Linked DNA regions of Tribolium castaneum. The protein of the gene in region 1 purifies or fractionates together with the protein of each later gene. This does not show direct contact. Links are inferred from orthologs where the notes say so. Each region holds a gene or a part of one and is shown in the gene's direction. Other genes may lie near its edges.

The links.
Region 2: the proteins of Sgf29 (region 1) and not purify together in Homo sapiens (affinity purification with mass spectrometry; 6 studies listed by BioGRID and IntAct, with this or other methods). This does not show direct contact. The link is inferred for Tribolium castaneum from reciprocal best matches to the Homo sapiens genes SGF29 and USP22.

The regions. Positions count from the first base shown.
Region 1 is NC_087396.1:14,033,032-14,037,354, reverse strand, and holds Sgf29 (SAGA-associated factor 29), read left to right. Parts: upstream 1-1,306; 5' UTR 1,307-1,584; intron 1,585-1,633; 5' UTR 1,634-1,736; coding exon 1,737-1,907; intron 1,908-2,362; coding exon 2,363-2,882; intron 2,883-3,732; coding exon 3,733-3,917; 3' UTR 3,918-4,004; downstream 4,005-4,323. UniProt on the Homo sapiens protein: Chromatin reader component of some histone acetyltransferase (HAT) SAGA-type complexes like the TFTC-HAT, ATAC or STAGA complexes.
Region 2 is NC_087399.1:1,665,509-1,669,783, reverse strand, and holds not (ubiquitin carboxyl-terminal hydrolase nonstop), read left to right. Parts: upstream 1-1,436; 5' UTR 1,437-1,778; coding exon 1,779-1,943; intron 1,944-1,989; coding exon 1,990-2,496; intron 2,497-2,797; coding exon 2,798-3,063; intron 3,064-3,116; coding exon 3,117-3,674; intron 3,675-3,720; coding exon 3,721-3,763; 3' UTR 3,764-3,853; downstream 3,854-4,275. Other genes in the region: pyridoxal-dependent decarboxylase domain-containing protein 1, read right to left, coding at 1-209, 299-540, 584-927, 975-1,073; hexosaminidase D, read left to right, coding at 3,927-3,955, 4,000-4,054, 4,099-4,264. UniProt on the Homo sapiens protein: Deubiquitinase that plays a role in several cellular processes including transcriptional regulation, cell cycle progression or innate immunity.

The DNA.
Region 1 (4,323 bases):
TTTTGATTTCTACTACTCAACTGAACTTTAGTCATGGCTGGTTATCGCAAATATTCCTGCAAATACCCCGGATGCACCAGTGATTATGTTCCCAACAAAGGACAGTCCAATAAGCATTTCTTCACCTTCCCTAAGAATCCAAAGCTTCAAGAATTGTGGAGGAATGCCTGCAAAATTGAGGATCCTGTAAGTTCAAAATTTTGGCGTTTTCGCTATTTAGGGTATTTCAGAATTTACTTTTAAGTTTCTTATTTGCGCTCGAGTGTGTCAGTGCACTGCATGTACCTCCTCGTGGTCGTAGCGTGGGCAACTGTTTGCTGACAGACAAGGTAAAAGTCATTGCAAAGCAGACCTTATTTTGTTTTAAGTCTCGAGCAGACAGGCAAAACATGCCAACACTGACTGATTTAATTTTTTTATAATTTTTGTATAATTAAGAAATAATACAATACTTTAATTTTTTGAAAAATTTAATTTGTTATGTTACTCAAGTGTACAATAAAAATGTTAACAAAATCTGTGTTTTATTACCCCAAAACAACTTTTTTTGTAAGTTTCATTTCAAATTTTGTTTAAAATAAATATAAAACGTTTTCATTTTGTTTAAAATGAAAATATATTTTTTTATTTTAAACAATTTGCAATGAAACTTGTAAGATAAAAATAATAAAAAACAATATAAAAGGAATTTATTCAAACGTGGCACTTTACCGTGGTAGTAACGCACTTCAGCACCAGAGGCGCTGGATTCTCGTGTTGCCAGTGATTTACTAGGGAATTATCACTTCTTAACCCTTTCTGTTCTGTGCTACCTGTCAATTCCTAAAACGTCTACAAACATCACGCTCTGCACAAGCGCGGCGCTAAATTTAAATAACACGATATTTTTTAATGAAATAAATTTTCAGATAGACCCAAATCGTTTTGAAACCAGAATTTTCCTGAAATATTTAAATTAAAAACCTCTATATCATTAGTTAGTTACATAATTAATAAGCAAATAATTTTTTTCATTTTAATCTAAAGACGCAAGTACTAATTAAATTCACAATCACAACCTCGTAGCAAGTTTACAAACACGTATTTAATTAAATAAATAAAAAATAGTTGCAATTTTTTAAATAGCGCCTCAAGGCCGTCGTAGTTCCAATGTGACAACACAGAGATAAGTAATCCTAACACAACATTATCTTATATAGAAAAAAAGGGAAACTTAGTGATATTATCGTTGCAATGTTAAAAACATTATCAAGCATTTTATTCCACAATTATTACTAATTAGTGAATTTTTTGTAGGTTTAATTGAATATATGTATTAGGTCGTGTGTTTCAAAAAGTAGTCTATTTGCACGGCTAACGTCAAGCACAGGCAAACAAAAATAAGTGTATTTTAAATTACGTGCATGTTATTTTGATAAAAAATTACCATTTCCATAATTAGTAGTTTATTGTAAAGTACAATACATAAAAGTTACCCCCGCAGTGCGACTTGTGCCCTTTTCCCTGGCAGTGCATCAAACAGTCAAATCAATGTTTTTTGATTTAATTGAAATAAACATTTCCACTAGAACCGTGTGTAGAATAGTCAGTGATTACTAAAGTGTATACTTTTGCTCTATTTTGGGCGTTTCAGGTACTCGTCACTTTAGTGTTGCTTTGCTGGTACCACGTTGTGCTTGTAGACAGGCACTTCAGGAACCCATATTTCTGCGGTGAATTTTAATTGCACTATTAAAATGCCCTTTAGTGCAGACGCAATCGCAGCGCAAAAAGTTCAGGAGCACTTGAAGTCGCTCTATCACACGGTTCATGAGATTGAGAAGAAACGCCAACAGAGTGAACAAGGAATAAACAACATTGTTAAGTTTCAAAATGGGCAAGACGAGAAGTCCAGCCAACATTATCAGGTGTGGATTTTCTGGCATTCGCAAAATATTTTGAGGCATTTTCCGAAAAAATAACAGTAATTTGGGGCCAACATTTTTATGTGTGTATCAGTGTGATTTGTTTTCTTCTTTGTGTCAACGACATTTGGTCCCTTTACCTCGGTCTTGTTCTCAGCGGCAATCGTTACCTAATAATTATGCTACAAATAAAAGTACTGATTTCACTGCAACTTACAGTTAAAATTGTTAAAACGTAAATAATTACAATGGCTTTTAAGATCTTTGATGACATTTTTCTGATCTTTGGCGGCTTACGGTGCCCTGGAAACGCTAAATTAAAAAAAATCGCCTTTGAACCACCTTTTAAAGCTCAATTGTGTTTCAAGTAAATATTTTTGTTTACGTGAATTTAAAGAATTCCATTGTTTCGATTCAATAAGAGTTTATATGATTACTGTAATGATTATATATTGTAGATGAAGCTAAAGAGCCTCTACAAGTCCTCAATTTCGCACGCCGAGCAAGAGGAGGATTTGCTCCGTCAAGCTCTTCAAAAAATTGCGGAAATCCGCAACATTAAGAACGAACGGAGAATTCAAACGAGACATGCTGGAAACAAAGAATCGATTCGTAGGGGCACTTGGATGAAGATGTTAATGAGTTCGGCACAAACATTGCCCCTTTTCGTCGGTAAAATAGACGAAAAACCTCCTGCTCTCTGTGGTGCCACACCTGCTGACTCTGGCTATGTGGCAAAAGTGGGCGATATGGTGGCTGCTTTGGTTAAAATTCCTGATGGAGATGGCGAAAACTGGATATTGGCTGAAGTGTACAGTTATAATCACGCCTCAAATAAGTACGAAGTTGATGATATTTTGGCGGAGCAGAATCAGAAACGGCGACATACTTTGAGCAAGAGAAATGTGGTACCGTTACCCCTAATGCGGGCTAATCCCGAGACTGATCCAACGGCCTTGTTTCCACAAGGAACTGTCGGTAAGTGGAGTTACAACGAACTTCCTCCTGTTTCAAGCACCGATTATGGCAAAACTCTTCGGAAAATTGAAACTATTTTAAAGTTGTCTTTGTAAAATGCTCTGGGAAATCGCTTGGCGTCAAGAAAATGACCAGATTCTTAATAATTTTTAAGATATATTTTTTACACTGTTTGCGATTTTTTTTAAAACTGTTAATCGCAGAACAATGGTCTTTTTTGTAAAAAGAAACAGATTATTAAGAGCTATCCAACGATTATACACTTATTAGGGTTTCGGCTAGTATTTCTGGAATTATTGCCCGATGAATGTCACAAACGTGTTGAAACATTCGGTGGTATGTTAGCACAAAAAAAATCTATGTAAATTTTTTACATTTTTATAATTATTTTATGGGATGTCTCGTGGTTTTTTTGTGTCTGTTTTTGCTAATAATTTTTACTCAGTGTAGTAGATTCCTCAGAGATCATATTTGTTTAAAATTTTTATTAGTAAAGTTTAAAATTGCTCGCCAAATTTAAATTTATTCGCCATCGCCGACGAAAATTCAGAAACCACAAATATTCGGATAATGCAAGTTGAGTTCTTTTGAGCTCTACTCACATTCCTTAAAATATTTGCACAACTATCAAATTATTACTTTTTCGCAAAGGATTAATGTTTTTTTACAATTCTTTCTTATTTCGTCTTATTTGACAAATGATATAAAGCAAAAATAACAGCTAAAAAGACACTCTTTGTTAATTTATCTCTTCTAATGACCTCGGATATAACGAACGGATTTTGACACATTTTCTGAGTTCGTTATAACCGGACACCACGTAAATTAAAATGTTGGTTTTGCGTTTCAGTTATGGCTCTATACCCAACTACGAGTTGCTTCTATAAAGGCATTGTGAACAAGCCTCCCGCAACACATACTGATGAATATGAGATTTTGTTTGAAGACGCTGCGTATCCTGAAGGCTACAGCCCGCCCCTGTATGTGGCCCAACGCTACGTCATTGCCATAAAACAGAAGACAAAGCAAGCCTGACATTATCTTTCAGACACTATGTCTGATTCTGAAGCTTCAAGTTTTATGGAATAATTTATTGGGTAGTAAACATTCGAGAAACTTTCATTTTGTGTTATATTTCACCAATTTATTATTCATCTTTACATGTACATGAATTTTTTTTACATTTTTGTTATTTTCTAATCTAACTTTTAAAAAAATGGAACTCCTGAAAAAAACAGGCTGAAGGTACCTGTAATGTTGCAACATTAAAAATTATAAAATAAAAACGAAACTGTTCAGACCGTAACAAAACTATTCTCATAACCGTTACAACTACCAATTTCTCACCCAATGAACGAAAGAAACTCATAATTATCTTATGACTTTCTTTGTTTTCTTCTGACTATGAAGAAAAATTAATTTCCACACATGCACGCAACAC
Region 2 (4,275 bases), on another chromosome or scaffold:
TGGCAGCGCCAAGGCGGCCAAACTGTGCCCCCTTAGATGCAACCAGGCGTCATGTAACCGACACAACTCCTTAATCCTCGAAATATTATCAACATGCCCCGTAATAGGGGTCCCAGCATCGGCAATCACAATTAAAGGGGTCCTACCGGCGCTAACATCATCAGCTAACATTTTTTGTAACGACGCTACGTCCATCGTGTACTGCGAACCTGAAGACAAGCCCTCAAAAAAGCTTGCAATAAAATGATTTCTGATCAAAGTGACTTGGTCACCACTTTGACCAAAAATTGTGAATTACCGAAGTGAGTATTGACCGGCACGGGCCTCACACAGGCTAGGGGAAGCCCCAACTGGCGACACAAGTGCTGGACTACGACCAAAGGACTCGCCACACTGCTGTAAATAGTTGGGAGCGAGGCAGTAAAGGCCAGAGCACCGTCTTCCAGATACCGGGGGTACTTGTAATGTAGCATCATTCTGGTCACTCTGACCAGCCCCTCGAGGTGGTCGTCGTGATAAAACGACGACGAGTCGAGAAAACTTCAATTTTTTATTAATACCGGGGGTTCACCCAATTTCTTACCCGAAAATCTGGCTGATCCAGCGCGTGGCGTCCGTGGTGAACCTCGTGCTCAGCTTCTGCATGACGGGGCGCTCCAGCCCGCTGCAAAACGCCGCAATGCTGTGCGAAACCATCACCAGCTTGGCCACGTTGTCCAGACTGTGCAGACTCAACGGCTCCCCGTCCTCATCCACACTGATCAAGCCCTGGATTATCTGGATGATTTCCTCGGTGCGCTTCTGCTCCAGGCCCAGGAACACCGTCGGCTGGTTGTAGGCCGCATCGGCCAGGCTTGTCCCTTCGGCAACCTGCTCTAACCTACTAACAATTTCGGACGCTTCGATTGCGATTTCGCCCAACTGGTTCTGAAACACCGGATAAAAACCGGGCTGGAAATTGTGGCCAAACTTACGTTTTTGCTAGTTGGAGTTTGCATGTTTGTTTTCGTTATGTCTACATTTACGGAAACCTCGTTTTTTGCTGTGTTTTTATCATTCGGCGGAGAAGCCATCGTGGCAGGTGTACGGAAACGTCAGATTTTGCAGACGTACGCCTTCGGGTGCTCTCGCTTATTTGCATGCGGACGTGGAGATACGACGCAATGGAGGATGTCGGGGATTAGCGCGGGCGCTTTATTTTTAAAATGGTGCGTTATCAGCTGACTATACCTTTGCCAACCTTAGGAAAAAATAATCTTTGCCGGAGTTGATTGCCAAATAGGCACGGGTCAAGTCATGAATTAAACTCCAACTATTTTTTAATTCTAATTCCATTTTTGTGATCATTAAGGGGCTATTATTACCCAAAACTGTGTTAGAGTATCACTTTGTGGGCGTCATGTTGGCTGTTATTGCCACCACTTGACGCTCGACTGGAGACATGGCCTAAAATTGATTTATTAAATTATTGCGTGAAACTTATCGACCCAAAATAACATTTTCGGGTTGTGGGAATCACCCGAAAGCCACAGCAATCGTTTCATTGTTGTATTAAAATGATCACCGTTTCTCGAATCGTGCTTGTGGGCATGTGGCCGTAAATCTCAGTCTGTTGTCCAAAGGTGGACACCAGTGTCATATCGTGATTTGTGTACAATTTTTACCAATTTTTTAAACTTTTTATTGTGTGAATGGAAACAATCGTTTAGTTTTGTAAAAATCGGGGCTTGGGGCCAATAGTTTGAGGCCACGACTGTATCTCGTTGGCAACCTCGTTGATGGGCAATAAATCCCACACAAAGCCGCGTTTTTCGAAAAAAATGAGCATAGTTGGGTGTCAACACTTGCAGTCTTACAAGAAAACGAGCAAAAACAAGAACACTTTCAAGTGGATCCACGCCGTGTTCGTGGTCAACTCCACCTCAAAGAGCCTCAAAACCAAGGTAAAAATCGGCCACGCTTTGCTAAAACTAACTAGAGGAATTGTAGTTGTGCAACAGCCGCTGTCGCGTGTGCAAAAAGCGGGGCCCCTTCCTGCATGCCTGCCTCGAGTGTGTCTTTTTCGGATGCCACAAGCACATCCGGGAGCATGCCAAGAGCCAGAAACACTCCATGTCCATGGACCTGACCTACGGGCAGATGCACTGCAACCAATGCCATGACTACATCTACGATTCCGAAATCGACGCAATTGCGAACGATAATAAAATGAAGTCGAAGACTTGCAAGAAACGGCTGTTTGAGATCGACACGTGGAATCCTACGTCTGATGAGAGGGATTATTTGAGGAGCAAGACGAAGAAGATTTGTATTACGCCCGATTCGACGATCGGGCTAAGGGGGCTGCTTAATTTAGGTCAGACGTGCTTCATGAATTGTATAGTGCAAGCACTGATGCACACCCCCTTGTTGCGCGACTACTTCCTCACAGAGGAGCATAACTGCAAGGGGATGTCGGGACGGTGCCTCGTTTGCGAGGTCTCCAAGCTTTTCCAGGTATGGTCGTATATGGCCAGGCTACGGGTTACTATAAGTTAGGATACGAAACGTACTCAAATGTCCCCGTCCTGGATAGTTCCATTAGTGGCGCCAGATGGCGCAAACAAAAATGCAGGCGGGTAGAACAAAAAATAATGCAAACATTTTATTTTTTGATTTAGATCAAGAAGAATTAAATTTCCTACAAAAAAGTCTAACTAAAACAGTGATAACACACATTATGTAAACTGTTCTTGATTTTTTAAATATGTTTATTCTTTTTTCTCAGTTCGTTTAATTTAAATGTAATTTTTTTTAGGAGTTTTATAACGGAACTCGCGTCCCTTTGGCCCTCCACGAGCTCTTGCATTTAATCTGGACGCATGCCCGGCACTTAGCCGGCTATGAGCAGCAAGACGCCCACGAATTTTTCATCGCGACTCTGGACGTGCTCCACCAGCACTGTCTCGAGACAATGCCCGATTTAAAGCCGGTGAATGTGGGGAAAAACTCGCGATGCCCCTGCATTATCGACCAGATTTTTACCGGGGGGTTGCAAAGTGACGTTGTTTGTCAGAAATGCAAGTGAGTAGTGGGATTTTTAAGCGAGCCGGTGGTTTTACTTGTTGCATTGGTAGTGGTGTTTCTACTACAATTGATCCAATTTCGGACTTTTCGTTAGATTTGGGTCCGGTCACGGTTGGCGGACGGCCACCTACCTCACTTGTCGATTGTTTAGAGAGGTTCACAAGGGCCGAACATTTAGGCGAAAATTCGAAAATCATGTGTTCGAATTGCCAATCAAAGCAGGAATCGACGAAACAATTGACTATGAATACGCTTCCGATTGTTATCAGTTTTCATTTAAAACGCTTTCAGCACATGAACGAGGTAAAAACCCACACGAAATCCAAACAAAAGTCACTCATTTCGTCGCAGATGGAGAAGAAAATCTCTACTACGATTTCGTTTCCTGAAATGCTAGATATGACCCCGTTTATGAGCAGGTCTAAGACAGACTCGCCTTTTCCCTCTGATAACAGATACTCGCTCTTTGCCGTCATTAACCACATTGGCAACTCCATAAACGTGGGTCATTACACCGCTTATGTCAGACAGTTGCAAGACTATTGGTACAAATGCGACGATCACGTCATCACAAGAGCCACTCTCAAGGAGGTTCTAGACTCGGAAGGGTAAGGCGAAAAGTTGTGTAAACACCCCGTAATTTTCTACTTCCAGATATTTACTCTTTTACCACAAGCATGTCCTAGATTACGACTAAACGATTTTACCTAATTTAAACATTTTATTTATTTTATTGTGACATCGATTAATTTATCAAGTGCTAAATGTAATAAATTTTACCTCAATAGCCGTTTTTTATTATTATTCCACCCTCCTTAATTGATTTGTTTACTTTGACAAGTGAAATGTGAGGTTAAAAAATGGACGCTTTAACGCTAGGTTCCCAAAGGTAAGAACAAACCCCCCTGACCCACAATTAACCATTTGCCCCAGATTAATCCACTTGGACCTGAAAGGGGCCCCTCCGAAGCTCTGCTACTTCGAAAAAGTATGTTTGTTTGACACAACCTCACTTTTAAACGTCAATTTCAGTTTTTTCCCCTGATTAAAGATTTGGGGGCGACTGGTATTTTGCTAGAATGGGAGGATACGTTCCCGTATACGCGCGAGTTGCTGCCGATTGGGGGGCTGTCGAACAGCGCACAGGTCAGTGGGGCCCCGTACACCATAGAAGAGGCGAGACAGTTGCTTGATATGGGTAGGTTTGTC